Linked DNA regions of Danio rerio. The protein of the gene in region 2 purifies or fractionates together with the protein of the main gene of each other region. This does not show direct contact. Links are inferred from orthologs where the notes say so. Each region holds a gene or a part of one and is shown on either strand. Other genes may lie near its edges.

Region 1 (11,403 bases), on a different chromosome or scaffold from region 2:
AGTATGTTTTAGTAAACATCAAAATATGAAAACTTTTAAGATGCTAATGACAGTTGATGTCATCACCATCTTGTGAAAATAGTCTATGAGTCGACTTAACCGAACAATTTTTTTCTTTGCTGTCATTGGTAAACGTCTGTCGGTGCCAAGTGCATTAGCCTTGAAACGGCAATGAAGAGCACAAATGAACAACTGAAGCACATGATGTAATAGCCAACCTGTTTCCTAGCAACAGATTCTATGCAAATAGATTTTGAAGTAGATATGAAATGCATTTTTGAACTGCATAAAAAGCTCTCAATCCTAGAACTTTCATATTGCTGGAGTTGATAAACAAGTGTCTTTAAGCAGCTAAAGAAGAAGCCATAACCTTTACTAACATTGGAATTGCATTAGGGAAACATTAAGAGCACAAAGCACTTCAGTAACTGCTGCTACTCGGATTTTACTGGATCACAAAGGTATCAAATTGAATCAGTGCTTCTCCTTTACAGATTTTGCACTTTTATAAGGAAGAGTCCGGAAGGCAAAAACAGTGTCTGTTCTTAATATACCAATCATTGCCAAAGATAAAAGATTTCGCAAACATTCTCATGTTAAATTACATTCTCATAAGCAATACATTGTACGCAATATTTATTAATCATCCATGATTCAGAAGTTAACATGCTGTGGTCCACAGTTAAAGAGATAGCTCACCCAAAAATTAAAATTCTATCATGTGCTCACTATTATCTCATCACAAATCAGTTTGAGTGTCTTATATTGAACACTAAAGAAGATATTTTGATGAATGATGGAAACCAGTAGCCATTGACTTACATAGTATTTGTTTTTTCCTACTATGTCAGCCACTGGTGACCGATTTGCAACATTCCTCAAAACATCTTCTTTTGTGTTTAACAGAAGAAATCAAATCAAACATGTTCAGCAACTCTGAAATAGCGAGTGGCGAGTAAATTGTTTAATTTTGGGGTGAACTATCCCTGAGAAACATTTATTTTGTGGACATCAAATTTTTATTATCTGCAGATAGAAATATTTTTGTTGTCGTTTTGATCCACATAATGAATTTCAGCTGAACCCATCAAAGTGAGGCAGACACTACAATTTAAACCATTCATATTGTGTCTATAGCATGTAATGAGGCATCATTGTGTAACTTGGATGTTGCATTGTGTGTAGACGCCCTGTGATATTCAGATTTGACTAAGATATAATTGCTTCAGTATTGCCCAAGACATTTCTGGAAAGGAATAATGGTTGTGGATTTTAGTGTCTTTAGTGTAATTCTGTTGAATTAAACTTAAGGGAATTTGATTATGAGCATGAATGTTGGTATGATTTTGAACTTGAATGTGAATATTTTGCTTACTTAATATGTTTGAATCAACCCCATGTGCTTTAATCACTTTTAACAAAGCTGGACACAGGCAGCACCGTCCCGTACATCCCCTTCAACTTTGCTATGGTTGGTTCCCTTTCAGTTTCAATGGGAACATTTTGTTTTAGTTTAGACCTATTTTTTTTTATTTTAAAGTCTGATAACTAAAATACTCTTCAGACATTCAATTGATTGGGATGCCGTTTCGCTGGGATGCTGGGCAAGCAGTCTCATATGAGTGGTTGGTGTTTGTTTGCTGGTTGCTGATGTGCATAAAGCTTTTATGCTTTAAAACAAATGGCTTGATGGCTTTCTTTAGATTTAGAATTTTATTTAATGTTAAACTAATGTTTATGTGTTTACAATAAAAGATCTTTTGTTTTCCTCGTTCATCATTTTATCTGTCACTTTTTCTTTCTTTTTTGAACAAAAAAGGAGTCTGAGATATTAGAACATACAATTCATTGGTTTCACTTTTTAGAGAGCTTTACTCATGCAGGTGAACTGAAAGAAAAGTAATCCCTTATGTAGGCTGAACAAACGTGCAGCATGTTAAAAGCTCAGATCCTTAATCTCATCGACTATGCTAACATAAAAACAACAAGCATACTTGTGGAAAGATTAAATCACCTTAATAAAATTGCCTTTCTTTTGCTTTTTTGTATCTGCTCTGTTGGATGTGACGTGACTTGTGTAGTCACGTCACACCCAACGTGGTTTTCTGGAGCAATGCCGCCATCTAGAGGATGAATCAGTAATGCATTATGTTCCATAGTGTCAATTCCCGTTGTAAAACAGGCCAATTCAAACAAAACTCCGTGATACTCGCAGAATCTTTAATATCAATATACATGTACCCAGGAGTGTTAGGTATTAAAATAAAATGTTTTATTTTATTATTATAAAGGTTCACACAGCTTATATTTCCCACCTATGTTAGTAGGACTCTTATTCTGAAAACAGGACGGTTAGCTACATCACCTGCAGCATCTTGTGTTGGGTTTGTGACAGCTCGTGGTCATAAAGCTAAATTCGGGAAAGACGGATTGGGAGTTATTCTGCGCCACCCGGATGAGGCATAAGGTCTGTTGTATTCTGTCTTTTGTTAGTTTAAAGTGTATATTGTGAAACTGTCCGTTTGTTTCAGACACGTGTATGAGGCTGTCTATGGAATAGGCTAAGTTACAACTGTAACGTTACATTAGTAACAAGGCAACAAACACATACAATTATTTAATTTCGAAACACTTTAGTTGTGTATAATTAAGCCCATATTTTATCTGCAGCACAACTCTGGAACAGTTATGAACAGGTCAACTTATTCCCAATGTCAAACTTTTCCACTTCAACCATTGTCATTTGACAATTTGTTAAAATATTTTTGATAACTTGTGCATAATTATTTTGCACGTGTTATTTAAGAGTGCATTAAACTATGAAAGCAGAGCTCTTTAATATCCACAGCCCTTCCAAATAAGGTAAAAATGCTTTTAATTCTAGAGACCATTCATATGGCTCTAAATGGGCTTGTTAAGCCTCTCTAGATATATTTTGCATTTATAAGACACATACCTTGTAAATTTTAGAGAACAATTTAAACAAAGCATTCATATGGCAACTTTAAGTAAAGCTTCCTTGAGAACTACAGGAGCCAACAAATGACGCGAATCAGAACATTTCATCAAAGATGTCCTAAAACTATTGAACAACACTCATTCAATTTGCATCCTCTTCAAAAGCCGATGCTCAATTGTTATTTAACAAATGTATGTTTAATTATTTATTAAATTGATTAATTAAATGGTTTATTACTTTGTGTGTAGGCTTTACCAAAATCACACAAGTGTCAATTTCACGTCACATTCATAACGAAGCGTTTTCCTCGTAAAAGCAAAAATGTCAAATAAATTAAATTAAAATAAAGTCGTTTTTTTTTTTTAAAGAGCCGACTCATCCTTTTGATTGACATTATTTCTTTTGGGTTGTGCAGATTAAGTCATGGAATTTCTACAAAGTATATTGAGTACTGTAAACTCATAGTTATTTTGGTCACAATCATAATGCATGCTTATTTTCCTCATTTTAAAGTTAAAAAAATGTTTACAAATTGATATTTTTCTCATCCCATAACTCTGTGGTAAGTTGTTTTGGAAAATATAAACGGATGTTTCAATATAATGTTAACATACTTTGTGAATTTATGTTAGGAGTTTTTACTGCAAATGTCACATCCAAAATGCTGGAATTGCTCATATATTACTAAAATAAACTTTCCCGTTCAACAACTGTTTTGTAAAGAAAAGAAATTAACAAAAGTATTGAAATTACAAACGAATAACATGGCAACCATTTAGCACAAAAATAAAGATATGTATTTAAAAAAAAAAAAAGATTTATTTAGATATTTACAAAGTACAACAAAAAACATGTCAACAGCTTTTCTTTACATTCTCTCACTTACACACTTACACACTCTCACACACACACACACACACACACACACACACACACACACACACACAACGTTGATCTCAAACATACTCTCCACAGTTGGAGATGATGACCTTCTGTTTGGGTTTGCCATCTTTTGTTCCCTGAGCCTGAGAAACAGCACAAATACAAAGCCATCAGAAACAGGGCAAAATGTAACTTGAATATATTAAATGCAAACTATGTAGTCTGAATTTCCTAAAAGGCAATTAAAACTTTCAAAAAAGCAAGGTTTCAACAAATCAGAATTGGCAATAAATATATTTATAATGCTACAAAATTATTAAGATTATAATTTTTTTAAATAAATTAATGTCAAATAAAAAGTGCTCTTTTGACTTTAAATTCAAAATGAATCAGTTCCCACAAAATATTAAGCAGCAAAGCTAATGAAAAATTATTAAGCAGCAAATCAGCATATTAAAATGGTTTCTGAATGATCTTGCAACACTAAAGACTGGCTTTACCATCATAAAAATAAATGCATTATTTGTGTTTAATCACAACATGTAGTCTTGGTAAGTATTAGAGACTAATTACAAAACATTTAAAAATCCTTTAACCACTAACTTTTGTCAACATTGATTACAAATCTATTCTCCAGTCAGAAACGCACCTCCATGGCCCGGAGCACATCCATGCCCTCTGTGAGCTCTCCGAACACCACATGTTTGCCATCCAGCCAGTCTGTCTTATCAACAGTGATGAAGAACTGTGAACCGTTAGTATTGGGACCAGAATTGGCCATCGAAAGCTGACCTACGAGCACAGTCAAAGACCAGATTTCAGGTGACTATCAACAATCATACTTGCTGATTATTCTAAGACTGTTGCAGTGAACAATAATATAATCATAACAGTTCTTTTAAACTCACCTGCATGGGTGTGCTTCAGGACAAAGTTCTCGTCTTCAAACTTGCGTCCATATATGGATTTCCCCCCAGTGCCATTGTGGTTGGTGAAATCTCCACCCTGGCACATAAACTGAGGGATGATTCTGTGGAAGCTGCTGCCCTTGAATCCAAAGCCTTTCTCATGTGTGCACAAACAACGGAAATTTTCTGAAGAAGAACAAACAAATCAAGCCAAAAGGTTTTTACAATGTTGATGGGATAGAAGTAGGACCGAGTTTAAAAGGATAATGCTGTTATTTTCCTCCCTCTTTGGTCATCACAGATGACAACTAAAATGGTGGTCCTTAATGATTCATAAAATGTCAGTTAAAAAAATATCATGTGTGTATATATATATATATATATATATATATATATATATATATATATATATATATATATATATATATTATTTTTATATTTCTATTATACAGGCAAAGTAGATGTCATTATGTTGATTTGTAAGTGCTGTTGCTGCTCTCAAGGCATTGCATTTATAAATAGATTTGCATTATATGAATCACCATGGACAACTTTCTAGCATTTTTACTTTAGCTAGAATAGGTTCACCATGAATATATACATATAAAAAATTTGGTGAATTTTTATTCCATGCTGACTTTAAGCACACGCAGGAGATGGTTAAATATGTCTGACCTGCAGTCATAGGCACAACATCAGCTCGCAGAAGGAAGCGCAGTCGGCCTGCAGGTTTGTTGCCAATCTTGATATCCATATAGACTTGAGGATTGGTTCTGCCTTTTTTTGCTGGAGGTTCTCCCTGTTCAGGAACATAAAATGCCAATCAGAGAGTATTTACAGGCATCAGAGGGCAATTCAACACCTTTTAAGACCTTTTTAAGACTCTTTCAATACATTTTAAGGCCTTGAAACCACTTTAGGTTTCAACTGGAAACACTGGCGAGATTTTAACTTATAGAATATTTACTGAATATTAATGTAAGAAACTAATCTAAAACTAAAACACTATTCATATACTGAATAAAAATTAATTTTATCTAATACAGCAGATTGACGCCAATAGAATTGCAGAAATAATGGTGTTGTCTTGGTTACTGCAGTAAACAAAATTGCATGATGTCAAATCTAGTAGGATTTCATAAACTACACAGCATCCTGATATTTGCAGATTTAATTCAGGCAAACTTTGGCATACAACCATACATTGCATAATCAACAATAATATAAAATATATTATTATTAAAAAATGTAATACCTTGCAAAACAGCAATTAAGAATATTTAATAACTTTTAAGGGCCTTAAATTTCTCTACATTAATTTACCAACTTTTAATACTTTAAGACCCCGCAGACAACCTTAATCATAGAGTAATAATGATAAAACTAATTTAAAATGGAGCATTAGACTTTGAAAAAAATACATATATAAACAGTAAAATCAAAATGACAATGTTAAGTTATTACTATTATTTTATTTACCATCCAAAAAATAAATAAATAAACCAATACTGTAACTTTCGGACCTCTTGTGTCTCTGTACTTGCTGATTCTGCAGCTGACTCGGCCTCTTCACTCTCCTCTGCTTTCTTCCCCGAGAACTTCTTCAGCCAGTCATCGTCAGACCACACTATAGGCAGAACAGCATAATTTACTTTATGCAAGTGTATTAATTTAGAGTGGCAATCCCAGAATAAAGGTGTTAGGGGCCATTCACTTTTGACATCTTTTGCACGTGCAAGTTTGTTATTCTCTGTTCAACCGAAACAACGATGGTGAAAGCACACAAGATGATGTTATCTTAGCATTTCATCTTAGCATATCACTCAAGTTGTTGCATGTTTTCCAGTCATTTTTAGGATTGATTTGTTATTTAGAATAATAACTGTATAATAATAGTAATAACACATACTGCTACGAGTAAAGACAAAAACACTAAAGAGCCTGCTTTTTATAATTCAAACTTATATGTAATTTAACTGAAAATTTGAAAGCAAACTACATTTTAATGAGCTATATCATTGTAACAGATGTTTTCTGATGTTTTTGTTTACAGCATCAATACCTTTTAGCTTAGTTTTGTTTATATATATTCTTATGAACTCAGCTTTAGGTATGGGTGTAAACAGCATATATTTATAAAGTACAAATCAGAAGTTGGCAGTGAGTATGTGTCAAGACATTAAACAGAAAAATCAACCACAATCAATTTTCCATCACCTGGGCGAGAGGAGCCCTCTTTAATTCTCATGGGTTTGGCGATGTTCACCCTGATGGTTCTGCCAAACAGCTCAGACTCGTTCTGAAAAACACATTACCAAATGCATAAAAACCTCCACTCTGCACATCCTGATAGTGTTGAACTTTATAAATCCACAGAATTCAGTAAATTCAAATTCGATGAACTCACCATGTTATCAATAGCAGCTGCTGAATCCTAGAGGGGAAAAGACAGAACTTTAATTAAGTGACAAATTGATACCAAAGCTTCTAATGCAGAGAAACAACAGTACAGTGTATAAAGTAGCAACACTGTTTGAATAAGTGAATCATAAAAAGCATCAAAGTTAATGTCACTTTGATGATGCACATTTCGCGTTATTTTAACTTAATTCAGTGTAGATGTATATGATATTCACCTCTGCCAGCTCGAACTCGATAAAAGCAAAGCCTCTGTGTTTCTCTGTTGGTAAAGACAGGATGTTAAAGTGGTAGTAAAAATCGGTCGTACGTTCACATGGTAAAGTTGTAAAGTAAATGTAACTTCTGTGTATTTGTCACCTGTCTCATAATCTAACGGGATCTGAATATCTGTAATGTCACCGAAAGGAATAAACGCAGCGTGCAGCACTTTCTCATCCACCTCCTCTGCAAGACCACCTAGAAAATAATAATAACGTTTCACTTAGTGCGATATGTCACTTTAAACGGACTGAGCGCTCAACTCTTGCTCATATTTCATGAATTGCTGCTTTCCCGGATACAACTAAAAACGTGTACTGCGTCGATAAAAATGTACGAGGCTAGAGGATTAAACTAGCCAACTGAACGAGCAAAACGTTTGTTAGTTAAATTAATAAATTTTATGTTTTCTTACCAACATAAAGAACACGTTTGCTGGCCGCCATCTTGCGTGTAACCTTTGACTTCAGGCTGTGTTCTTCACCACTGAGGTTTGGTATGTCGCCCTCTGGTGAACTGGAGTAAAATCTGATTGACATTTTGACACTCTGGATTCATTATGTACTTCGGGGGCGCCACAGTGGAGAAAAAAGGTCGCTGGTTTGAGCCTTAGCTGGGTCAGTTTGGAGTTTGAATGTTCTCCCTGTATTTGTGCTGCCCACACTTCTAACAACCGTCTTTTAAACAGACTAATGAATGCAAATAGGTTGAATGTGATGTACATATCAGTTATGTATATTTGTGCATAGTTGTAATTAAAATATACATTTTTAAATTGTGCTTTCTGCTTGTACTAATGCAACACGTACATTTCTATCACAAATAAAAAAAGAGTTTAATTATTTAATCACTATTGTGAATTGGCATGAAAAGCAGTCCAATATTTAACGCAAAGGTACTGCATTTTTGTGAATCAGTTAATTAAATAGTACTATCATGATTTATAAAGTTTCTATTGTGATATTACTAAAGTTGCCATTGAAAGAAAATCTGGATATACATATGCATAATTGAATAGGCCTAATAATAAGTTTAATGCATGGAAATAACATACTGTGTGAGCCTCAAACACCTCATTCTCATGTAAATCCAGGGTAAAAAAAAAAAAAAAAAACAGAAAAATAAGCAAATCAGAGAATAACACTGACAGTTACCTCAGGAATATTTGATCGCTACAGACCCTGATAGAAACTTCTGTTTAGAATTCTGAAATGCGTGGCACTGAGCAGTTTCTGGTGTGCGACCTGCTTTAGATAGTATCTATTTACAGCTTGTCTAAACATAAAATTCAGGAAAAATAGAATATGTTTAATCTGCTGTTGAACTGTATCTTTTGTTGGTTTAGTGTAAATTATATTCACTTTGCTGTTTATGTTTGTAATGAGGCAACAGACACATGTAAACTATTGAATTAGCATTTAATGCCCATTTATGCCTAACTCGGGAGCAGTAATGGACAGATAGATCATCACTTGCTCCTAATGCGGACCTCTTCTTCTCAACTTGTAATTTGACAAGCTCTCTACTAAATTTGTTTAAATATTGTTTTTGACGACTTAATGATTATTTTGCACATTTGTATTTCAGAGTACATCACACTGTGTGAGCATCAGAGACATAAGCGTCATATTCACAAAATAAGGTAAAAACAGCTTTTCATTCATTAATTTTCTCTTCAGCTTCGCCCCATTATTAATTAGGGGTCGCCACAGGTGAATGAACCCCCAACTTATCCAGCATATGTTTTACGCAGTGGATGCCCTTCCAGCTGCAACCCAGTGCTGGAAAACACTCATTCACACTTATACACTACAGTCAATTTAGTTTATTCAATTCACCTATAGCGCATTTCTTTGGCCGGTTAGAAATTTAGTATGGCTTGACACTGTGCATGACTGTCACATGTGGCATCAAAATACCACGACAGCGCTCAGAGATCAGTTGATTGAATCAGCCGGTGGCGTATCTGAAGAGCGACTGCAGGAGCTGCGATGACAACACCGATATTACACGATCGGCTGGATTCACCGCAGGACAACAACGACATGTGATTTGGGTTTATTATTAGACAAATTTCATCTCACAAATTTCATAACAGTCAGTTGGCGTTTCGGTGTGGAGTTTGCATGTTCTCCCCGCATTCGCTTGGGTTTCCTCTGGGTGCTCTGATTTCCCCCACATGCGGTACAGGTGAATTGGGTAGGCTAAATTGTCCGTATAGTGTATGAGTGTGTATAGATGTTTTCCAGAGATGGGTTGCAGCTGGAAAGGCATCCGCTAAGTAAAACATATCCTGCATAAGTTTAATAAAGGGACTAAGCCGAAAAAAAAATGAATGAATGTTGTATAGGCTACTTAAAATTAACTCATAAATCCCTTATTGTTTAAAAATGAACTATAGTTTGTAGAGACTGTATTCTCTTTTATTTTTACTGTAAATCTTTTGTTGTTAAAAATAAATGATGATGATGACGCCATGTGATCGGTTATCATAACTGCCACGACTTTGAGCACCGAAGTGTCTGGCTTGACAGCTCCGTTTTCAACTGCGCTCGGCTAATCTTCTTGATCACCGACTGCAGCCGTGGTTTAAGTCGAATACACCTATTGGCTCCGGTCATGTGATTAGTATCAGCTAAAAGTAAAATAGGATATTATTAATATTTATGTCAGCATTGGCCAATTAAGCAGAATATTTAACCTGTATATGAATGAACTGTCCATGTGGTCATTTTTGATAAAAAAATAAAATAAAATTATTGTCACCAAAAATGGCCTTCTAGTCTTGGCTAAATGTATATAAAAAAAAGAAACGCACAGAAAATAAGTTCATTTTAAATAGTTATCCCTTTATTTAGAGTGCCACACCACTCAAGTTACTGTCATGGGACAAGTGAGGTCCAATCAAAGCAGCAAACTCACAGCTCACAGAAGAAGCACGTCAGCACTTCCTCAGGAAAAAAAATCAGTCCTGGCTACAAGACAGAGGCTCTTTCCTCACAGAAAGACCTCTTCTGAAAATCAACTTCAGGTGATAAAAATCATTACAGAGTTAACAATATAAGCCCTGCAACAAAACGGTTTTCTTTATGTTCAAGTATTGTTTTGTATTTTTCTCTTTTTTTATATATATATATTTTCTGTTTTCTGTTTCTATTGGTTGCCACCAGACAACACCAGACAGTGGTGATCTCTCTTCAGCTGTTCAGCTTCACCCTGTGGAAAACAAATTTAAATTAAAGCAAATTTTCTGAATCATTTTAACCACGGCCAGAAACAGCCTGGACACTAATAATAATGATTAATAGTGAGGAACGTTACTGGTCAGGATGTTGCGGCTGCAGTGGCAGCAGTGACTCCCACTTTCTGTGTTGCGTCTTTCTTGGCCTGATGAGCCTGAAGCACAGCGACAGCCTCCTCCACCTGAAAAACACAAATAATCACTGAGATCTGTTCATGAGTTCACACTTGCAGACCATCAAATGAATTACAGTGATGTCTCTGAGCTGGAAATAAAACCCTAACTCGCGTTATCCCCCTTGACAGGAGAGAGAGCCGTTCGAGCGCAGTGTGTAGCCTGGCCTCAGAATGCTCCTGGCACTGGTTTTGAAGGTGCAGAATTGGGTTTGCAAAGGAATGCTGAAAGCTGAGAGATAATGGAGGTAGGGGGTATTTGATTACTTTTAGGGGTTTATTCTTATCAGTGGCGGTTCTAGACCACCGTAACTTAGGGGGGTGGGCAGGGGCCACTTGTTCTTTTAGGGGGCACACTTTAACATGAATCACAAACTACTAAACAATTATTCAAAGTCTAATGTTTCATGCATCACTCTGCAGTCTTCATAAACAAGCTAATTAAATAAGTTAAACTCATAATCTTCCACGTTCATTTATTTGACAAGTAAGTTATCACCGTATTTCACATAAAACAAAAATAATTCTTCTGGAGTCATAATAAGTCTTATTTCTTATAGT
Region 2 (11,386 bases):
TTACTTGTATCCCCTTCACTGTGTACTGTAACGCTTTCCGGTCGACAAATTAAGAAAAACACGCTTCACGAACGTACCACGTTCAACTTTCGCGCGGTAAGCTTCAGTCTGTACATGGTCCATATATGGGCAGTGCAATTTGATTGGCTAAAAGAATAGGCCTTTTTCACACTTCCTGGTTCCGGTAAGCGAAGCAGTGTACCACAACATCCGGTTTCAATGCGACGGAGCAAGAAAGAATGGCAGGGTCATCTCATCGCTGTGATTGCCGCGTTCCCAGCTGCTTCAACTCAAAAACGACACTCTTACTTTAATGACCACGATCTCCCGAAAGACGAAGGACAGGGAAAATCATGGATGACAATATTAAAGGGGGTTGAATGCCGTTTCAAGTTATATGTGGGAGTACGCTCGTATGCTGTATGCACTTCAAAGCGGAGATTATCATGTTTCATTAAAGACTGGTGGTCTATGGTTTATTTTGATGAGTAATTATAATATAGACAAAACTCCAGTTAAACTATCTGCCTTCCACAAACAAGTGCTCATCATGGTCATTAATCTATTAGCATGATTTATCCCTACATTGTTGTTATTTTGGAATAATAGACAGTTCATACAAATGCAAATCTCTTTTTTTTTAATTGGTTTGACAGTAAAATTATTTGTTTAGTCAGTTATATAATAAAGATGGTAAACTTTTCTTACAATGAAGTCCTTTATTACAAAATCAAAATATTACAAAACCCAGCAAGTTTTCAACTGTTATTGGTTCAATTCCTGCAGAGACATGTTATTCATTTATGTTATTTAGAGGTATTAATAAGACCATCCTTCTGATGCTTCATCTTTTGATATTACTAAATCTTATGTCGGCAAATTTTGTTTTACTAAATACCAAGAGTAATGATAGAGCTATTCATACTCTTTTCCAAAAAGAAATCATTACTGTACCTTATATTCAATTTTATTATATGTCTTTATTAAAGGGTGAATTGAAGAAAAGTTTGGCTGTTACCACAGAAATATCATGTTAGAAATAGAAATAAAGAAATTTCCTATAAACTTATCCACAGGTTTTATCCAGCAAAACATTGTTTGCAAAAATGTAAAAGTGGGATTGATGTAAATTGTATTTTTGTAACGAATATGAGGAGATAGTTTTACACTTATTTTGGCATTGTACATAGTCAGCTTATGGGGTGAGTTGCAAAATGTATTAATAACGATTCTTTTGTGTTCAACCTCTTTCATTATGGATAAATGTACATTTGGACTTTACTTGATTATCCTAATCTAGAGGGAAAATAGTTTTATTTATTTAATTTGCTTATGTTGTTAACAAAATTGTACATTCATAAATATAAATTTACTAATATGAAACCAGATTTTAAGGTATTGATGACTGAAATATGCTTGTACAATACCAGTATCAACTCTCTAAACAAGAAACTCGACCCACTTTAAAATGTGTGAACTCTACAATGTATTTCATTATTACATATGTTATATTACATTTTGATTATTTGTATTTTATTTATAATTACCCCCTGGTATGTACATTTTTGTATTGTAAAATGTTATTTTCTGTTCTTTAAATAAATAATAAAAATGAATATTATCCACGAGTAGGAGCTAATGTGTTTCCAGACTTGAGAAAACCTCACGAGTATTAAACAACCTGTAATGTATTAACCGATAGCAACTCGCCTGTATAGCTAACTTACCTCGCCATTCACTATATCTGACTCTGAATAAAAAGGAAGGAGGGGGTTAGCACAGTTTACAGACGGGACTACCGACATTAAACTCATCCTGCTGGATGTTAAATAGCCAGGTTAATCTAGCTTACGAATGGCTTGAATGAGCAGATTTTATGCTGTTGGCTGTGCACCTTACTGGAACCTGATGTTGCAAACGCAAACGGTAAGACACGTTTTCTGCACAAACTCTGCAAATCGGTATCATCTTTTAAAAGCTGTTTTATTAAGGCAGTTTTACACATTCACCGAACAACATCTTCTTGTCCAAATTATGGCAAAGTTGACCGTGAGAAAGTCATCCGCTGTCCCGATGCTGTCATGTCTCTGCGACTCATAGCGAACCCGGAAATATCGATACACTGCTTCGAAGGGCGCTTCCGGTGTTCAATTCCGCTGTGAAAAAGGTCTATAAACATCTGACTGGCAAAAAAGAGGCACGTTTCAGCATGTCATTTCAGTTATTATTTTTACATAGCATTTTATTATTTTTTCAGCCTAATATTTATAGCCTTTTAATAAGAAGTGCATAATGCCCAAATATAAAACCTTGATAATCAGAAAAAAGTCAGTGCAGACTTTTACTTAATTTTGATGACTAGTGTTGGGGTAACGCATTACGGGTAACGCGAGTTACTTAACAGTATTACTTTTCTAAGTAAGGAGTAAAGTAAGGCATCACAATGAATCACGTAGTGAAAGGGGGATTGTGTTCATTATTTTTAACGCATCTAAGAAAAGGGGGACTGTCTCAATGGACAGTGATTTTAGGCAAATACATTAGTACAAAAGTAGCAAATATATTGCTTTAAACTGTCTATAATCTGTAAACGGCATATATACAGTAGCTCTGAGGTAAGGAAGTTCTCAGATAATATTCATTCATTTTCTTTTCGGTTTAGTCCCTTTATTAAGCTGGGGTCGCCACAGCGGAATGAACCGTAAACTTATCCAGCATATGTTTTACACAGCGGACGCCCTTCCAGCTCTGGGAAACATCCATACTCACTCATCCACACTCATACACTACGGACAATTTAGCCTACCCAATTCACCTGTACTGCATGTCTTTGGACTGTGGGGGAAAACAGAGCACCCGGAGGAAACCTTATCCTAATAATTATAATATTATCCTAAAATATTTTTTAATGTTTTTTTTTTTAATAAAAGTAAATGAAGGTGTAGTTTATACATTGTGTTGTTAGTTGCAGAACTCCTATATTTAAAAATATTTTCTACTAAAACTGAATTGAGTAGGGCTCGGGATATTAATTGTTTGGCAAAATAAACATTTAATCAAACAAAACAGGATTTAATTTTGAGCTGAATTTCGTTTTCAGCCAGATAAGCAGATGACACAACTTTTAAAACACTACCCTTTATTATTATCATTTTAAATGTAGATAAGTACGCATGTAATATTTTAAGCTCACTATAAATCAAAAACAAGAAGGCCTTTTTAAAAGACAGAAGCTGCGTCCCAAATCGCATACTTATGCACTATTCTACGCCATTTTGTAGTATAAACAGTGTAAGTAGTGTGTTCACACTGAAAACTCTAAAAATCATAAGTGCACTTTAATTACCCGGATGATGCACTCATTCAGCCGCTAAAATGAAGTGTGTAATGATGGACACTTCACGCACTCAACGACCGCAGGTTTGCATACGTAGCGGAAGGGGCGGAGCTATCGGACGCACATGTTGGATAACTTTATTTTGGATGGTGAAAGCAAATTTCTCCAACGAGAGTGATTATAGCGCCTCCCGATGGTGAATGCGGAAATACTCATGGCAGGTATTATTTGATAATTCTGTTGTTTATTTCACTGATTTGGCAACCGTCAAACGTCATTAGGGAAACGGTTTGAATTTCCGCTTAGTAAAAAAAAACATTAGTGTGCCATTTGGGACACCACTTCATACATATACTATCCTGTTGAGTGTGTAAGTGCATAAGTACATAGTGCATGAGTGCATAGTGTATAGTGTGCCATTTGGGACGCAGCTAGAGAGTTTAATTTAAGATGTATGACATAACAAAAGCAGAAACGATAGCAAAAAACTGCAGGACATTTCCACCCCATCACTTCCTGTAATAAAAGTTTTTATACAACATTTTCACAATGGTCCAATACACTGATCCTGTGTGCTGTTTAATTCAAACATTAAAACAGAAAAGAGGTCCCAAATAAGGATGTGATTCGTGTGTGATAAAAAAAAGTGGTCGTAACATCCTGTTCACTTGTTTATGACCAGACTTCTGCAGAGAAACAAACTGAATTATTGAAAATCCTTTCCCTCTCAGCGCTTTAATCAACATCCACTGACCAGACAGATGTGCCGTCATCCGATTCTGTGACACACATGACTCGTCCACAGAATCTGGACAACAGTTGCTCTAATATTCTTGATAACTTATGAAAAAAGGACTGTTTGGCCTACAACACAAGGCTAAATATCCAATTATCATACACAAATGTACCCAAGACTCAATGCCTACTGAAGCACATACAGAAAACAGATGTATATAAAAATGAAATGCCTAGCAAAAAATAAGGGCAGTTTCAATTTTTGAGGGGAAAAACTACAATAAATTTAAGCATGTGGTGCAAAAGAACAGGGAACATTATTTTCGAGTCTTTTAAACACATTTTTAGCTTCTGTCCATGTTATCCTCCACTTTGCTAGCAACACAAATTTGATATTTTGTTCAGCATCAGTATCAGACATTTGCAGTTCATGAAGACCTTCTGAGAAGACGCTAGCGTCGTCTGAAGGCTCTGGAGATTCTCCAGGCGTTTGGTTCCTCGTAGCGGTTGTAGAGAGGCTCCAAGCGCTGCTGCTTCTTCTGTTTGCTGAGGCGTGTGGGATCAGACACTTTGAAGAAAGCTGGAGCGAATTCTACAAGCCATCTTGGATCGATGGTGGTCACTTCCCTCATGTATTCTTTAGTGGTTAGCACAAGCTCATGGTACACCACCCTGAGAAGAAGGAAATAATAGTGAAAAACATGCAATATTGATACTAACTGTGTAGTTAATACAGAAACAATCTCATCTTGTAAACGTACCATTCTGGTTGGCGGTTGAACAATGCGCTGGAGGGGTGGATGTAGACCACCTGCTGGTCTATGAGGGTCCTGTAACCTTCTTGAGGATCCTTTTTGGCTGCATTCCGGAAGAAACCACTGCAGATGGCTTTCTGTACACGCACAGTAGCCTTACCGCACGATACCACATCCAGTTTGTGCCTGAAAACAAAAATTTTATGTGTAATTATTAACAAAACGTAAAATAACTGAAGTCTAAGATCTCTGAATTATAATTATATGTATTAATAATTGTATTAATTCTTTGTGGATAAGAAATTCCACAATGCAGGTGTTAAATTATGCTTGTGTTGTTAATCGTTTCAATGTTTTTCCTATTGTTTTTTGTGCCTTGATTCCTCAGATCAATGCTAACGCTCAACATATGTGGCGCCACCTGTCAGTGGTTATTGGATGCGCAGCAGGCGTTGCTTTTAAAATGTCTCTTTATTTTTTTTGTGACTTTTAGCCAGTTGATTAGTTTCAGATTTCCAAACCAAGATTCTTGAGGTCACGTATTACCAATTTTGTGAAGTTTTTTTCAATGTTGTTAAACAATTAATATGTGGTAAATCAGAATCAGGAAGAGCTTTACTGCTTGGTATGTGTACACAAAGAGTTTTAGTTAGTTAGTTTAGTTAGTTTTAATGACAGAAGTCTACACAGTGCGACAAAGACAGTTACAGGACAAAGACACAGATAATAAAGAAATAAAAAATAGGAAAACACAATTTTGACAAATGTGTGTACAGTGTATTAATATATACAATAATGTAAGTATAGCTATATTTTTTGTGCAAATAAAAATTAACAATAAGTGTTGTTAAATAAATAGATGTACGTGTGTATAAATATTGTGCTTCTCAAAGTAGGAGGGAATGATCCTTGTCTGTTTTTGTAAAGAATAGTGAGGTTAAGCGTAAATAATTTTTTCCTTCATTTTTTAAAAAAATGGTTTCATTAATGTTTAATTAAAATAACTGGTTTTCTAGACTGATCTCATTTTATTATTTTGGGCCATGGGTTTCTGTCAAGTTTAATATCACTTCTCTTGATAATGTTTTTAAATGAAACTTATTAAATGCGTTTTCTTATTAGTTTTATTTTTGGTAATGAAAGTACTCAGCATGTTTCACTTCACTGACATTAATTCAATTAGTTAAGTGGCTTTAAAATACATGTCACAGTACAATATAAATGCTAAAAAACTTTGCATATTCTGTATGATAAAAGTATTCTTTTATAAAAACGAATTACCTAAAAAATGTAAAGTGGTTTAATCTGCATTGTCATGTGTAGACAGGATGTTAGAGGCTGTGATTATGCAAATTGCCGCATTTTTAAAAGCTAAAAAAAATATTTATAATATTAAAAGCCTATCACAATCCAATTTATTTTAAAAAGCACAACCAAGCCTGTATAAAGTTCCAATCCCCTCACCTGTCCATGATGCCCAGCATCTGTTTGCGGATATCCTGTGCACGTCGAAGAGATCGGGCTTGAATGAAGTTCTCGTAACACCAGGGGTTAGAAAACTTGTTGTTCTTCCAGGAGTTATAGACAGCCAACAAAGTCAGGTGGTCTCCCTCAGGCTGGTGAAACTTGGCCTTCTTCTGGTCTGCCAGAGCTTGTTTGTCCTGAGATTGAAATCATTTTAGGATCAGTCTACTTGGATACCTTAAACTCTATGTAATGATATAATGTCAAGTTCACAACAAACCTGACAAGAGCATTCGAATCACATCAATTACTCTAGGTCAGTTGCGGGATGTTTTTCACCTCACTAATTTAAATGTTTTTTTTTAAATGGCAGAGAAGACATGATTAAGGCAAATTTATGCGAGATCGCAGCAAACGCATTGCAAAATTGGTCTCATCTGCACTGCTCTGCAGAAATTCACTTCTAATCCCGTGTTTGCATTGACTTTGTATGTAATCTACTCATGCATACACGTTTGGTATGAATTCACATTTGGTATGAAGCCAGCATAACTGTGCTTAGCGCACTACACCTAGAACTGTGTGTGAGCTAAAATAGTACCTTTGGTCTGTAGAAGACATTCTGTACTGAAAGCATTGACACAATGGTCAGCATCTCTTCACTGCAGCCAAGATGGACAGACATGATCAACATCTTACAAAGCATGGGCTCCAGAGGAAACTCAGCCATCTGATGGGAACAGTGATAAGAAACTTAATACTGTATTCTGCAGATTGAGCAGCTACACCCAAAACCATGATAAGAGAACATTCCTAAGTTTCAGCAAAGAAAATGTGCACACTTACTCTACGACCAAGGCGTGTGAGTAGACCTTCATCATCCAGAGCGCCCAGAGTGTACAGCTGCTCCATGGCCGTGATGAGTGTCTCCATAGGTGGAGCATCCATAAAGTCAAATGACAACAGGTCATTGATGCCCATAGCCTGATTAGAGGACAGAGAAAAAATGTAAATATATAAAAAAAGTGTTTTAATCAATGTCATTTTTACAGCATGTTTCAGATTGCAAACAAACAAATTACATTAATAATTGTGATGAATGAGAAAGAGACAGATGTGATTTGCATAGCCATTTCTCAGTACTCATATGCCATTCTGCACTTATATGCATAAATGAACCAGACTAAAAATGCAGGGCACCAGGTTATGAAACAAATGTTCAAAGGTAAGCAAGGTGTGTAAATGCTCCAATTAGGCATTATGATGCAGCAAAGTTTATCTTTAATCATTCTTTAACCCTGTTGTTGTCTTCGAACTCTGTATAGACCACAAATCAAATCTTAAAAAAAAGAAGAAAAAAAAAACTCATTTTCATCACAAACCCTGTGGATATCTAGGTTTGCTCTCTTCAGTGTGGAATTTTTCATCAATGTTTAATCATTGGGCAAAACTCTGAAGTAAAGGGAATATTTTTAATGCTAAAAGTACCTACATGAGTGTGAAAAGTTTAGCAAGACAGTAATAGTAAAAAGCAGGAGATTCTTGGTATTGGAGTCTGCATGTGTGTGCCAGTAGTTTTTGTGGTGTACAAATTGACCTGAAAGACAACTGTTGTACCCTAAACATGTACATCCTTCATGAAAATGTAAAGAAAATAAATAAAGATAAACTGAAAATGGAAAAAAATGGATCTGTAGGTTAAGAGGGGAGTTAATGTAATTTAAAATGTAATCAATTTAAAAAACACTGTTAAATATACCCTTTAGTAAGCATCAAGACGGAAACCTCTAAATTTATTTCACATAGATTTTAGTGATCTATTTACATGAACAGTATAAAATCTTAATATTTTGTATTATTGGTTATAACCTTACATTTAGTACATATCTAGAGGTGTGAACCTACACTGGTCTCACGGTTTGGTTCTGGTTATAATTATTATGCTATCGATTTGGTTTAATTCGATCTCTTGAACAGCATGAGCATTAATAGCAAATAAACAAATGTAAACATCCAGCTCGAGTGTTGTCGAGCAAGTTCTTACACCCAGGGCTGCGATTGGTTCAAACGATGTTCACCGATGAGCGACACTGATAAACAGCAGCTGTAGATGATGCATGATTGATGCGGGGTTCTGAAGACACACTCCAGTGTGAGTGAAAGACAAATGCACACATAGTGAACTGTGCAAAGTTTCTGCGTTTTAAGTCGTTGAAGTGTTTTAATTACTCATGCTCACCTCACCACAGTAAGCTATCGCAATAAAGCACATATGAGGTAAATGACATCAGTACAAAACTGTTATGATCCATTACTGAACCGATTCCGAGTTGCACCAAAGAAACAATTAATTTTGACACCCCTAGTACTTACATATACTAAAATGTCTAAATAAAACCATGTTAAAATATAGTGTAACATGCTGTAATATTTTTGTGTGGAACTATACCTTGAGAGAAAGTACAGTGCTGGCCAAGTTGGTTCTCTGAATCTCAGGTACATTGGTTGTGAGCATCTCATCCCTGTAGGCACGTTCTGTGTAGAGTCTGTAACACTTCCCAGGGCCTGTTCTTCCAGCTCTACCTGCTCGCTGCTTAGCTTGAGCCTATGAACCATAAACATGAGGTTTAGGAGTCAAGTACCTTCTGATGAAAACAGCATGTAGACTGGGTTTATTGTAGTGGCTGATACCTGTGAGATGGGGGTCACCACTAGCTGATCAATGCCAGTTTTAGAGTTATACACCTTCTGCTTGACAAAACCTGGATCCACCACATAGTAGATCCCATCAATTGTCAAAGAGGTCTCAGCAATGTTGGTAGCAATGACCACCTAAGAACAGCACAGAAAAAGCAGAATGGTTTGTTAATGTGAATTAAAATCATGTAATTAAAATTTTCTGGGAATTCTAGATTAATGTTTGAGGTGACCAAAGAAAGGAGAAACAACAGATGGTACCTTTCTACTTCCAGGTGGTGCTGGGTCAAAGATCCTGGTCTGCATTTCACTGGGCAGGGCAGAGTAGACTGGGAGAATGATCAGCTCTGGAACATCAGGACCGAGAGATTTCATTCTTTCATAAAGGATCTCACAAGCCGTGTCAATCTCCTCCTGACCCGTCAGGAACACCAAGATATCACCTGCACAATGAATAATTTTTATTAATTGGAACTGTTTTTCAAATTTAATAATTTTGTTTTGTAGAATTGTGTTTGAAAGCTTACCTGGAGGTTCAGTGAGGTGAATCTGCATGACTGTGATCAGACTGGCATCCAGATAGTCAGTTTCAGGTTCTTTTGTATACAAAACCTCTACCGGGTATGTACGACCAGGGATTGTAAAAATAGGTGCTTCATAAAAGTACTGTGAGAATTTCACGGCATCCAGTGTGGCAGATGTCACAATGAGCTTCATGTCAGTTCGTTTCTGTACAGTCTAAATAATCAAAAAAGGAAAGAAAAACAAGACAGTGTAAAATAAAAGAAAGTAAAAGAGTAATTTCCTTAAAAAAACACTAACAATAGTTGGTATTTTAAACAATATTTTAAACAATACTCCAACATTTAGAATTCTGAACAGTATAGAGACTGACTAACAAAGTCTAAAATGTGAATTGTACCTTCTTGAGAAGGCCGAAGAGCACGTCTGTGTGGATGGTCCTCTCATGGGCCTCATCCAGCATAATGATGGCATACTGGCCCAGATCAGGGTCAATAAGACACTCTCTTAACAGCATACCGTCCGTCATGTATTTAATGACTGTCTCAGGACTAGTGCAGTCCTCAAAACGGATGGTGTAGCCAACCTGTGCAGGCACAAAAATGAATGCTCAGAACGTTATATTGAAATGTTTGTAAATTGTTGTCTATACTGTCAAAATACTTGTAGTATAAACTAGGGATGAGTAATGATTCGAATTGTCCCAAATTTATTCATTGAAAACTGGCTAGCAAAGGCTATTGATATTTCTAAAAGGGATCACAGAACACTTTATTTTAGGCATACGGGTACAAGCATGTACAGTTGAGGTCAGAATTATTAGCCCCCTGAATTATTAATCCCCGTTTATTTTTTTCCCCAATTTATGTTTAACGGAGAGAAGATTTTTTTCAACACATTTTTAAACTCAATAATTTTTATGACTCATTTCTAATAACTGATTTATTTTATCTTTTCCATCATGACAGTAACTAATATTTGACTAGATTTTTTTCAAGATACTTCTATACAGCCTAAGTGACATTTAAAGGCTTAACTAGGTTAAGTAGGTTAACTAGGCAGGTTAGGGTAATAAGTAGGGGTGTAACGATATTAAAACCGAACCGAAATATCGCGATACACCAACCACGACACGTATCGCGAAACTCTCGTGGCGTACCGCGGTACTCTCACGCCCCCTGCTGCCCATTGTTGAGGTTGACGTCACTTGTCTCTAACTAATTGAACCAATTTAAACACATCTTTATTATCATATTTGATTAAATTGTTTTAGTAATGATGAGGATTTGTTCTAAATATTATATTCTAAAGTTAGTATTTTAGTGCATGTCATGTCATGTGACTTGAGTAAGCATCCCACTCGTTACTACTGGACGCAGGATGGCTGCTTCACATAGAACTGAGATTGCAGATCCCCCAGACACATTTAAGTCATCTGTGTGGAAACATTTTGGTTTTCCAGTTGAGTACAGGAATAGAATTTGTGTCGTAGACAAAGCCTTACTTGTAAGGAAAAACATTTAAAAAGTGTGGTAATTTCACAATGTGAGGGTGTAAGCAACAGAACTGCCAACAAAAGTGATTTAATGTACAAAAGTAAAACCAGAATAATGCCTGAATATACAAAAAAAGAGAAATATTTACACTAATAAAAATAATATAATAAAGTAACAAATTCAAACAAAAGTATCAAACAAAAATTAGTTAAACTCGAGCAAGGGGGTGATAGTGAAGACAAACAAAAGAAATAAATATAATAAAACAATTCTAACTCATGAATGACCCCTCTTACCTCGCTAAAACTGATGAAAAGAAAAAAAAGGTCTTCAGCGCCGTGCGCCGCATTCTTCCATATACTGAATAAAATAAACAAAGA
Region 3 (11,486 bases), on a different chromosome or scaffold from region 2:
GGGGTAAAAGCCCCATCCATTAGTGACAATCTTTACCTCATTAGCATAGTCTTGTTTTTTAATCTGCCACTATGCTGACACGCACGCATTTGTAGCTCCACCCTCTATTGAAAAAAAGCAAATCTCATTTGAATTTAAAGTGAGTGACCAAAATGGCCCAATTAGGATCGGTTTCAAGGCATTATAAAACATTATTTGTGTGGTATTTCGAGCTGAAACTTCACATTCTGAAAAACAATTAATTTTGCAACAATTTATTTGTTGAATTTAAACTAACAAATTAAATTTAGTAATGTTCAGCTTAATTTATTTGTTTAAATTTAACATAAACTAATTGTTTACAACACCTTAATCTAAAAAAAGTAAGTAAATTCGAGGAATCATCTTTGAATAATTTTTTTCAGCGTACACACAATCAGAGACTTAATTTACATCTTGTAAAAAAGGGCATAATAGGTCCCATTGAAGGTTTTAAATAACTATAGAGTCAAAATAAGGTTGAAAAAATAAATTCAGTATCTTTTATCGAATTTTGAAATAACATAATTTACCTAACCTGTAACATTCAATATTATATTTTTAAAAATGTCTTGCTAACAAATGGGTAAAACCTAATGGTTTGAAGTATAGTGGAAAATTATAAAGTTTTAAACTGAGTATTATCAGGCTCCACTGTGATCCTTAAAAAAAACACATGTAATGCAAGAAAATGAAAGCCTACTGAAAAAATAATTTCTTGGATTTACAATTTTTAAGGTAAGTAAGTGGTTGCAAATAATTTCTATGGGCTGAATTTAAACAAATTAAATTTAGTAATGTTTAATTTGTTTAAATTCAGCCTATAAATTATTTGCAACCACTTACCTTAATAAAATTTAGTACCTCTAATCAATAATATTTTCAGTGATTTACTGTTTTGAAGCCTTGTGACCTCTTAAATGTAACCCATATATGTGTTGTAATATTTCCTGGTTTATTAGTTTTCATGACTCTTCTTACTTACAGGAGATTGATGACATTAAGTCTCCCGAACACGGCAACAGATGCCGGACTGATCAGATGATTGATCTCTTCAGCATCTGACCATTCAGTTCTCCTCACGGTCACACTTTCTGCTTTACCAGTGGATGAAGTGATGGTGCTCATTTTCTCTAATACAATGAACATGTGTGATTAGACACAGACATAAATTGTGTTATACAGTTATTACAGTGCTCGAAAGTTTACATACCCCTTGAAGAATCTGTTAAAATGTGAATAATTGTAACAAAATATGAGAGATCATACAAAACGCATGCTATTTTTAGGACCAGACAGAATCTGTGGACATTTTTGCTATTTCTGCAGAGAATTTTGTAAAAAAAAACTGCTGATTTATGCGATTTTGGGAGTATCATAATTAAAAACTTAATATATGAAATAAAAAATTGTAAATGTTAAATATTAATTTTAATATTTAACATTTACAATGCAACTCCAATTTCCAAAATCCACTTATTTAATAAACAAAGCAAGTCTCTTATATAATATATCTACTAAAAGACGGAAAATATTACTTTACAAACTTCATTGTAAATAAATCAAATGAACAATTTTATATTAGTCAATAATATTACTGAAATTAATTTAAAAAGTGAATAAATATAAAATTACACACATTTACACACGTAGACTCAATGATTAACTAAAAATCTGCCGAAATTTTCACATTTCTGCAAGCACAGATTCTGTGTGGGCCTAGTTATTGTTTATTAAGTACTGTCCTGATTAAGCTATTTTGCATAAAATATGTCTATATGTAGTGCACAAAAAAAAAACATAGGTGAAATTTTAAAAAATAACCCCTTGCAAAAGTTTGGTTTGTGGTTTCCTAATGATCTACCAGTGTTTTTTTGTTGTTGATGAGTCTCTTGTTTGTTCTGAGCAGTTCAACTGACTGCTGTTCTTCAAAAAAAAAAAACCCCTCCATGTCCCCTAGATTCTACAGCCTCCTCTGCAGATTTGAGCTCTTTCCAGCAGCGAATCAAAGTAAATTCAAGGTAAATTGCACTTTATTTGTGTTCCAGGAAACATGCAAGTTCAGTGCTCAGCATAATTGAGAACACCCCATTTAGAAAATTTATATTTTTATAATTATAGTTTAAAATTTATATTTATTAAAATATTTAAATAATTATATATTTTAAATTAATATTTATTTTATTTTATCAATATATTTTATTACTTATTAAATAAAAATTTATATTTAAAACTAATATTTATTTTTATTTATTTTATTAATATTTTTGATTTCTTATTGAATATAGGCAATGCATTTTGGTGCATTTAAACAAAACAGATTTATTAAACAGATATATTTATTAATATGATATTTTAGTCACTAAACATATTTAGAAATAGAAAGATAATACAATAAAATCAAGCTAAATTTAGCTAAAGTAAATTACAACCTATAAAATTTCAACAAAATTTTCCTTTTTTGTTTTTGCTTCTCTTGATTTTTCCTCTTTTGAAAAAAAAAATTGTATTTAATATTTTCCTATAAAATTTTTTGGCTTTTCTAGTTTTTGGGCCGTTATTGTAAGTTGTTTTGTTTGATAAGCTCCAGATTTGGCTTCAGTACTGACTAATGTATTTGCACAAATATAATACTGCAGCTTCCTATTAAAAACATGAATATAAAATAAAGATTTTTGAGGAGTGTATGGTACAATACTTATTACAAATTACCATGTATTTTGTATTATGTTGCTACTTTTGTTAAAATTATTCACATTTAACAGATTATATAAGTGGTATGTAAACATTCGAGCACAACTGTAGACGTAATATACAGTTGAAGTCAGTTGAATTATTAGCCCCCTTGTTTATTTTTTCCCTAATTTCTGTTTAACGGAGAGCAGATTTCTTTTCAACACATTTCTAAACATAATAGTTTTTGCTAACTCATTTCTAATAACTGATTTATTTAATTAATCATGATGACAGGTAAATAATATTTTATTAGATAATTTTCAAGATACTACTATACAGCTTAAAGTGACATTTAAAGACTTAATTAGGTTAATTAGGTTAACTAGGCAGGTCAGGGTAATTAGGCAAGTTATTGTGTAATGATCTGTAGACAAAAATATAGCTTCATGGGGCTAATAATATTGACCTTAAATTTTATTTTATTTTTTTATTTATTTTATAAAAACTGCTTTTATTCTAGCCAAAATAAAACAAATAAGACTTTTTCCAGAAGACAAAATATTATCAGACATAATGTGAAAATTTCCTTGCTCTGTTAAACATCATTTGGGAAATATTTAAAAAAGAAAAAAAATCAAAGGGGGCTAATAATTCTGACTTCAATTGTACGTTATATGTTTTTCGTCTGTGTGCACGCACAGACTTATTTTGGTAAACAAATAAATAACAACTCTTTACGGTTATTTCATACACAATAACAAGCAATACATAATTAACAAATTAATAAAAATGGACATTCACTTACATTAAAGATAGGTCGGACTATAAAAAAATCTAACAGTGAGCGAATAAAGTTAAATAACATAACGTTACATGTAACTTTACTTTGAGCCTCGTCACTAACCTTTATAAAAACAAATAAACATTCACACACATTGAAGAAAATTCGGTTTAACAATAAACAGATCTAACAGTAAACAAATAAATAACAAACGTTTAAGGTATTTAATTGAGGTAAGTTAACGTTATTAATGTAAAATGTTGAGTTTTGAACTCAGTCACTAGCCAATAATAGGCAAAAATATTTTAAAACAACAAGCATTCACTTACATTGACAAAAAGTCGATACACAAGCAACATAAAACAATTAAACAGGTATTTTTGGTGTATAACAATAAAAAACTGAGTTTTAACAGCCTCAAACTGCTGACCTTTTATTTATTGATAACGTTAACCGCTAGCAAGCGTCCTGTCACCATGGTGAGATGCTCCGTGACGTAGATGCAGGCAAAGGTCACAGCGCGTCACGGCAGGCGCGACACACACGGCACTGAAACGTCGCTAACCTTACAGGTTTTAGCGGGCTTTCGAAATCTAAAACACAAGAACATACGTCTAATTTATTTTTAATAAAGTGTCAGGAGCGTAATAATCATGGCGTCCACCGCGGCGGGCAAACAGAGAATCCCGAAAGTGGCGAAGGTAAAACCTATATGATGTTTTTGTGAGTTAGCATTAGCATGTAAACAACGTGAAGTCGTGCTGACGTTACTTAATAATTAACTACTGTATATAAATGTGGTTAGTGGAGTTAAGCTTATTTTTTTATAATGTATTTGTGTTTGTGTTCAGGTGAAGAATAAACCCCTGTAAGTTAGCATTAGCATGTAAACAACATGTAGTTCTGCTAACGTTACTTTATAATTAGTTAACTGATGTATAATGTGTATACATGTAATCAGTTGAGTTAAAGGTTGTCTTGCTTTGTAATGGTTTTGTATTAATGCTCATGTGAAGAATAAAGCTGTGAGTTAGCATTAGCTTGTAAACAACGTGAACTTGTGCCACTCTGAAAATAACAACTGTATAATGTATAGAACTATAACCAGATGGGTTAAAGATTGTCTTGTTTTGTAATGGTTTTGTGTTTGTGTTCAGGTGAAGAATAAAGCCCCTGCAGAGGTGCAGATCACCGCCGAGCAGCTGCTCAGAGAGGCCAAAGAGAGAGAGCTCGAGCTGCTGCCACCGCCACCCAAACAGAAGATCACCGATAAAGAAGAGCTCAATGACTACAAACTGAAAAAGAGAAAGGTATGAAATGTTGTATCACCATGTAGTATACCATGGTGTCACTATATGCATATGTCATAAAGTAGTACTAAATTACTGTGCATGTACTGAAAGCTTGGTTCTGTCATGGCATATGCCTCAAAAATATACAGTAGTGTCACAATTGCTTATAGAATGTGCGCAGTGCTATCATGATGTTCAGAAAATATGGTATTGATATGGTGTGTAGATTATAAAAGATGATATCGCTATGGTTTAAATGTATTATTTTATTATGGTAAACCTCTAGAAAACATGGGCATTATCACAGTGCATATTCAGAAAACTCAGAGGATATGCAATGTCTTGTTGGGTTTATAGTTGACCAGAAGACAGTTTATATATGTATATAAAGTGGAAGTCTGCCTGTGTTTTATGGACTGCCGCTGTATGAACATTTCAAGAACGTATAAAGCATCCAGGTGTAACGCTTCTCTTCCTGAAGACGCAAATCACTCAGGCGGACACAGAGAACTGCGTTCTGCGTTGTTTATTCTGTAACAGAAATATACATCCTCTGGCAACAGTATGCATTTAAACATGCATCGCCTTTCTGCATTCAGCAACCATTTTCTGCTGTGTTGCCACAAAGTCATTTTAACAAAACATTATTTATTTACAAAAGGTTAACATACCTGTAACAGAAATATACATCATCTGGCAACAGTATGCATTTAAACATGCATCTAAAAAAACCAAACAAATAGTAAGAAATCACCCTTGCACATATTAATGTCATCATTCCAGCTACACCTAGCATGAGCAAATTAAACCACACAAAGTTTGTCACACACGGCAATCACTCGACAGATTTGATCTAAAACATCACTTAATGTTCATATTGGGCTTGTATGTGTTATTAATATGTGTTAAAATACAAAATTTGTCACATTTAGCTGGAGCACATTTTACCTACCGCCTTTCTGCATTCTGCAACCATTTTCTGCTGTAGGCGGGGTTTTGCAGGTGAAAGGTGAAAGAAACAATTACACACTGTTGCCACAAGAGGTCTCTCAACAGCCACAAAATAAACAAAATAACCCATTTTGGTGAAAGACAATTAAACATTATTTTAACCCTGTTACACAGGCACAAGAAATTAGACCATTTGTACCTTTAATAAAGATACATTTTTAAAATAATTTTTACAATAAAGAAGATGCAGTGTTTTATTTACATTTGATTTTTTTGCAATTCCTGTACCTGTTTGCTGTTTGACAAATTCATAAAGTAACAATACTTGTAATTTTTTGTTATTTTTTTATGCATGATTCAATCCTTTATTGCAATCAGTCTGAATTAATAAACACTTCCCAAATAGAGTTAAGGCATCTGATGGACCTATATTCATTTTGCATTATTTATCACAGAAAAACAAAATATGTCAATGTTTGATTTATTTTTCAATATCTTGCACCCCTAATGTTCATGCTTTGAATATGCTATGTCAACAAGGTACATCTGGTCACAACATGATGTTACCAGTGTAAAGGTTTTGTCAATTTGATGTTTCGCATTTGATGTTCGTTTCTATAAAACTCCTAGTATACATGTACTAAACTCAATAACACATGGTATTATTGTGATACATACTTTAAAAGCTTCATATACATAGTGCATCTGCAGAAAATATGTCATCAGTATATTATGTGTCAAAAAGAATAAAATTATATTAATATCTTAAAGTTAAAATGCCACTGTCAGTGGTATATAATTAGGGGTGCACCGATATGGGTTTTTTAGTGTATATCGATAACTAATAACTCTTCAGACTTGGAGGCTGATAGTCGATATATATAGGTCGATAATTATAAATGTTTAAAAATGTTATATTTTTAAACTTAATAAAAGATTGAACTGCTCTTATGAACTGAAAAGTCTACTCAAACCAAAAAAGCTATAATTTCAAAATTGCAAGGTGGTTATATAGACCTATATTCACGATTTCACATAAATCAGCATGCAAGAAAATTAATTATTTCCTTTTCTTCATAGCAAATTAACATGCAACTTCACTGTTGCATAAAAATAATAGGTTAAATAACAAAACAGGATTTAATCAACAAGCAAGTTAAATATATTTAAATAAGATGAAAATGAAAGAGCTAACAACTGAAACCAGCTCAATTGTTCTTGAATAAAACGTGTTACATTGATGTACATATGTACAAATATGTAATGTTCGAAAAAAAAAAAAACTTTTCTAAGGGTGTTTTGACAGTTCAGAGTTACCGTACAAGCAAAAAGTTGAGTACAGGTTGTATTACTTTAGAAAATGCGGCATAGATTCATCCTATTTAGCGTTTTAGATTCTTTTGAACACGTATAGCTGTAGTGCTTGTCAATCAGACAATGCTTCTGTGTTCGTTCTTGCTGTCAATTGCGGGAAAAATGATCATGAAAAGTTTATGATAAACCGCTGTGAGTTGAACTAAACGTAATTTATCGGCCTAATTTAGACATCGGATCGATAACGATAATCTTAAAAATAGCATTTATCGGCCGATAACCATATGGCTGCCGATATATTATGTGTCCCTTTACATATTATTCAAAAAGTTCTCAGTTAAATGAATATTTTGCTTCTCTACATTTTCTTTTCTTGTAATACAGGGCTTTGAGGACAACATCAGGAAAAACAGAACTGTGATCAGCAACTGGATCAAGTACGCACAATGGGAGGAGAGCCTGCAGGAGGTCCAGAGGTGAGGTTCCTCTCTTAAATAAAATTCTTATTTAATTTCAGGAACTGTGAAGTTTGTTTTTTGGTCTTCAGGATGAATAATCAATTGTGTGAAATTAATTGATTAATTTGTTGCTGACATGGCATTATTTAAAACTATTTGATGATGATGTTGTCTTTAGATCTCGCTCCATCTACGAGCGTGCACTCGACGTGGATCACCGCAATATCACACTGTGGCTGAAGTATGCCGAGATGGAGATGAAGAACCGGCAGGTCAATCACGCTCGCAACATATGGGACCGAGCCATTACCATCCTGCCCCGCGTCAATCAGTTCTGGTATGCTTTATCTCAAAATACTAATACTTTTAGACAATTGCCTGGTATTATAATTCTTTTTGGCCAGTTGGATCAAATAAATAAGGGAGACAGATTCCCATTTAGATGCATCTACAGTTGAAGTCAGAATTATTTGCCCCCCTTAATTATTAGCCCCCCTGTTTATTTTTTTTCCCCAATTTCCTTTTAATGGAGAGAATGTACATTTCTAAACATTATAGTTTTAATAACTCATCTTTAATAACTGATTTATTTTATCTTTGCCATGATGACAGTAAATAATATTTTACTAGATATTTTTTAAGACAGGTTAACTTGACAGGTTATTGTAATTAGGCAAATTATTTTATAACGATGGTTTCTTCTGTAGACAGTCGAAAAAAAATGCTTAAAGGGGCTAATAATTTTGACCCTAAAATGGTTCATAATAAATTTAAAACCGCTTTTGTTCTAGCTGAAATAAAACAAATAAGACTTTCTCCAGAAGAAAAAATATTATCAGGCATACTCTGAAAATTTCCTTACTATGTTGAACATCATTTGGGAACTATAAAAAAAAGGAAAAAAAAAAAACAAATCAAAGGGGGGGGGGGGGGGGGGTAATAATTCTGACTTCAACAGTTTTTTTCCACTTTTAAACACTTTTAACAGCTTTTTTGATGAGGAAGGGTGGATGTCTAGGTTTTTTCTGAACCTTTTTGTTTTTTGTTTAATATTGTTAATTAAACTTGTGCAGTTTACATAGTTGCAGTCACAAATGCTCTTTCAAACTCCTTTTTGGTCAAGATTGTTCGTGTTAAATATAATGAGAAGATGTTAAAGCAGTTAAATCAATTTAATATTCTTTAAGAATTGAAAAATGAAAGTAAAAAATAAATTAAAAGTTCCTAATGTAGCATTTATACATTAATATACAATCAAGCCTAAAATTATTACCCTTTGCAAATTCTGACTAAAATTTTTCGGTTCAAATGTAAAGAAAAGCTGAGATTTTATTTTTTGCGCAAGGACGCCTCTTGTACATCGTCATATTGTCTTTTGGGAGAAGCCTGTCTCATTTCTGGTAAAAAAGAAAAAGAAAAAAAAAACTTGCTGGTTGAATAAAAGTAACCATGTCAGAATTTCCCTGTGGTATGAATCATTTTGAACTTGACTACATAACTGTCTACATTTTCTGATAAACTGAAAGATCTTATGTGACCATGTGTTATCATATTATGTATTGTTGTCATCTGTATGTGTGCATTATTTTTAAATAATTTATAAGGAAACTGTTTTGTTTGATAATTATGTTTTGAATGTTTTGAGCCAATGTTTCTGATATGCCTTTAAAACATAAAAAATAAGCTGTCTACAATTAAAAACAGTTAGCAAATATTTAAGAACATCGAAATTAATAAAATATCCCATTACACAAATCAAATTATTATTTTCTTGCAAAATTTACACCTGCATTTAGGCTGGTCAACTTCTAATTGGATCAACAAAACTTAATCTTAAAGACATAGTTCACCCAAACAATTAAAATTCTGTCAGGATTTGCTCATTTTTCAGTTGTTCCAAACCTATTTAAGTTTCTTTCGTCCATTGAACACAAAAGAAGACATACTGAGAAACGTTGGAGACCTGCAACCATTGACTTCCAGATCCTTTGTTTTCCCTACTAAGAAGGTCAAGGGTTACAGGTTTGCAACATTCTTTAAAATAACTTCTTTTGTGTTCAACTGATCAAACCTCAAATTGGTTTGGAACAAGTCAAGGGGGAGTAAATGATGACAAATTTACATTTTTGTGTGAGCAATCCCTTTAATAACAAGTGTAAACAGGCCAAAGGTTATATTTCTGTTTGAATCCTTGATGTGTGTTTTCTTTCTTTTAAAAGACATTTTAGATCAAATCATCTTCTAAATAAATGCATGTCATTTCTGAATGATTGTTTTATTTATATGTTTGTGCCACAGGTACAAGTACACGTATATGGAGGAGATGCTGGGCAACATTGCAGGCTGCAGGCAGGTGTTTGAGCGCTGGATGGAGTGGGAACCGGAGGAGCAGGCCTGGCATTCATACATCAACTTTGAGCTGCGCTATAAGGAGGTGGACAAGGCCCGCAGCATCTATGAGAATTATATCCTTTCATGAATAATTCATTTCACTTCGAAAATATAGCATACAGTTGAAGTCAAAATTATTAGCGACTGTTAGCAGTAGGGTTGTAACAATATACCGGTATGACGGTTTACCACGATTTGAACGTGCACGATTATCATACCATGAACAATTGCATATCAACGGTTTTAACCCTTAAAGACCGAGACAGCCGCCCGCGGCTAAAAATAAGTATTGCTCTTAAATGTTTAATAACTTTTGATCCGCTGATCCGATTCATAAAATTCAAAGATTGGCATAAAGAAGAGAATCTCAGCTTTCCAGTGCTGTATCACATAACATTCGCGGACTTTCAGAGGCTCCGGAATCAGTGCGGTTACGTCATCAAAATTTGACCACGCTGATTTGACAAAGAAACGCTCGTCACTGTGTCTCCGGACAAACCAGACACGATACATTGATGCATTGTCCCTCCTCCATGCCCAGATTGGTTCAAACTCGCTATATCACAACCAATAAGCATAGGTTTCGCTTTAGTTTGTGGACCAAGCTTTTTGAACAACACGGAATGAGAGATAGGCATACATTTATGCGTGGCTAAATAAAACGCAAAAAAAAAAAAAAGTTTTGCATGAAAAAATTCTCATACTAAGTACTTTTGCATGCACAGCAGCACAGAAACATGACAAAACAGTGACACAGCAAAGACGAACTGCTGCTCTTGCTGTTTTCAAAAGACGCAAATGAAGGTGCAGCTGTTAGTCTGCATTGCAGACAACCAAATCCGAATCCATATCCACAGACAACCATATCCATGCTGGCACATAAAACCTAAGGATGTTCCATATTGAATCTAGTTTCGTTATGTAACTATTTATAGTATAGTAAATATTTATTTATTCTATTTTTTACTGAGGATTTGCACCATGTTTATTTGGACTTTATTTGTACTTTGACACATTATTTATTATTTTCTTATTTTTTTATTTGTTCATTGTAAGTGGTGTTGTTTATAGTAACTAAAAATATATTATTTGGAAAAAGTCAAATTTGCTTCACTGTTCTATTATTTTGTAACATTTGTAACATACCGTATACTGCAAAACCGTCAAACCGTGGTATTGTTTTAGACGATTATCATACCGTGAAAAATTCATACCGTTACAACCCTAGTTAGCAGTAATATTAGAGACTGATCTGACTCCATGCATCCCTATTAGTTATGTTATTTCTTATTTGTAAAGGCATGCATGGCTGTTACATACAAAATTCTAGTTGCGTTGCTTAACCTCAGAGCACTTGTGATGGTCCATCCTGAGGTGAAGAACTGGATCAAATATGCCCACTTTGAGGAGAAGCACGGCTATGTTGCTCGTGGCAGGAAAGTGTTTGAGCGAGCTGTGGAGTTTTTCGGTGAAGAACAGGTCAGCGAGAATCTCTACGTGGCTTTTGCCAGATTTGAGGAGAAGCAGAAAGAGGTACGACTTACTCTGTTTGTGTCGTCGGGCACATATGAGACGTTTCTGATGTTTCCTGTCCATACATGATCG

What was found. Proteins that work in one complex are often made in the same cells at the same time.
Region 1: the proteins of dhx8 (region 2) and ppie purify together in Homo sapiens (affinity purification with mass spectrometry; 3 studies listed by BioGRID and IntAct, counting the BioPlex papers as one, with this or other methods). This does not show direct contact. The link is inferred for Danio rerio from reciprocal best matches to the Homo sapiens genes DHX8 and PPIE.
Region 3: the proteins of dhx8 (region 2) and crnkl1 purify together in Homo sapiens (affinity purification with mass spectrometry; 3 studies listed by BioGRID and IntAct, counting the BioPlex papers as one, with this or other methods). This does not show direct contact. The link is inferred for Danio rerio from reciprocal best matches to the Homo sapiens genes DHX8 and CRNKL1.

What each region holds. Positions count from the first base shown.
Region 1 is NC_133192.1:26,688,107-26,699,509, forward strand, and holds ppie (peptidyl-prolyl cis-trans isomerase E), read right to left. Parts: upstream 7,891-11,403; 5' UTR 7,875-7,890; coding exon 7,844-7,874; intron 7,627-7,843; coding exon 7,528-7,626; intron 7,430-7,527; coding exon 7,386-7,429; intron 7,184-7,385; coding exon 7,157-7,183; intron 7,049-7,156; coding exon 6,967-7,048; intron 6,377-6,966; coding exon 6,273-6,376; intron 5,549-6,272; coding exon 5,425-5,548; intron 4,936-5,424; coding exon 4,750-4,935; intron 4,664-4,749; exon of another isoform or gene 4,634-4,663; coding exon 4,491-4,633; exon of another isoform or gene 4,479-4,490; intron 3,985-4,478; coding exon 3,916-3,984; 3' UTR 3,890-3,915; exon of another isoform or gene 3,858-3,889; 3' UTR 3,759-3,857; downstream 1-3,758. Other genes in the region: pabpc4 (polyadenylate-binding protein 4), read right to left, coding at 10,753-10,851. UniProt on the Homo sapiens protein: Involved in pre-mRNA splicing as component of the spliceosome. Combines RNA-binding and PPIase activities.
Region 2 is NC_133187.1:29,417,511-29,428,896, forward strand, and holds the end of dhx8 (ATP-dependent RNA helicase DHX8), read right to left. Parts: intron 10,097-11,386; coding exon 9,911-10,096; intron 9,727-9,910; coding exon 9,516-9,726; intron 9,432-9,515; coding exon 9,250-9,431; intron 9,124-9,249; coding exon 8,983-9,123; intron 8,897-8,982; coding exon 8,741-8,896; intron 7,276-8,740; coding exon 7,138-7,275; intron 7,022-7,137; coding exon 6,893-7,021; intron 6,489-6,892; coding exon 6,292-6,488; intron 5,014-6,291; coding exon 4,834-5,013; intron 4,745-4,833; coding exon 4,525-4,744; 3' UTR 3,766-4,524; downstream 1-3,765.
Region 3 is NC_133195.1:52,272,298-52,283,783, forward strand, and holds the start of crnkl1 (crooked neck-like protein 1), read left to right. Parts: upstream 1-4,077; 5' UTR 4,078-4,128; coding exon 4,129-4,176; exon of another isoform or gene 4,177-4,632; coding exon 4,633-4,785; exon of another isoform or gene 4,786-5,489; intron 5,490-5,719; exon of another isoform or gene 5,720-5,751; intron 5,752-7,416; coding exon 7,417-7,508; intron 7,509-7,668; coding exon 7,669-7,827; intron 7,828-9,788; coding exon 9,789-9,955; intron 9,956-11,235; coding exon 11,236-11,414; intron 11,415-11,486. Other genes in the region: cfap61 (cilia- and flagella-associated protein 61), read right to left, coding at 1,004-1,146. UniProt on the Homo sapiens protein: Involved in pre-mRNA splicing process. As a component of the minor spliceosome, involved in the splicing of U12-type introns in pre-mRNAs.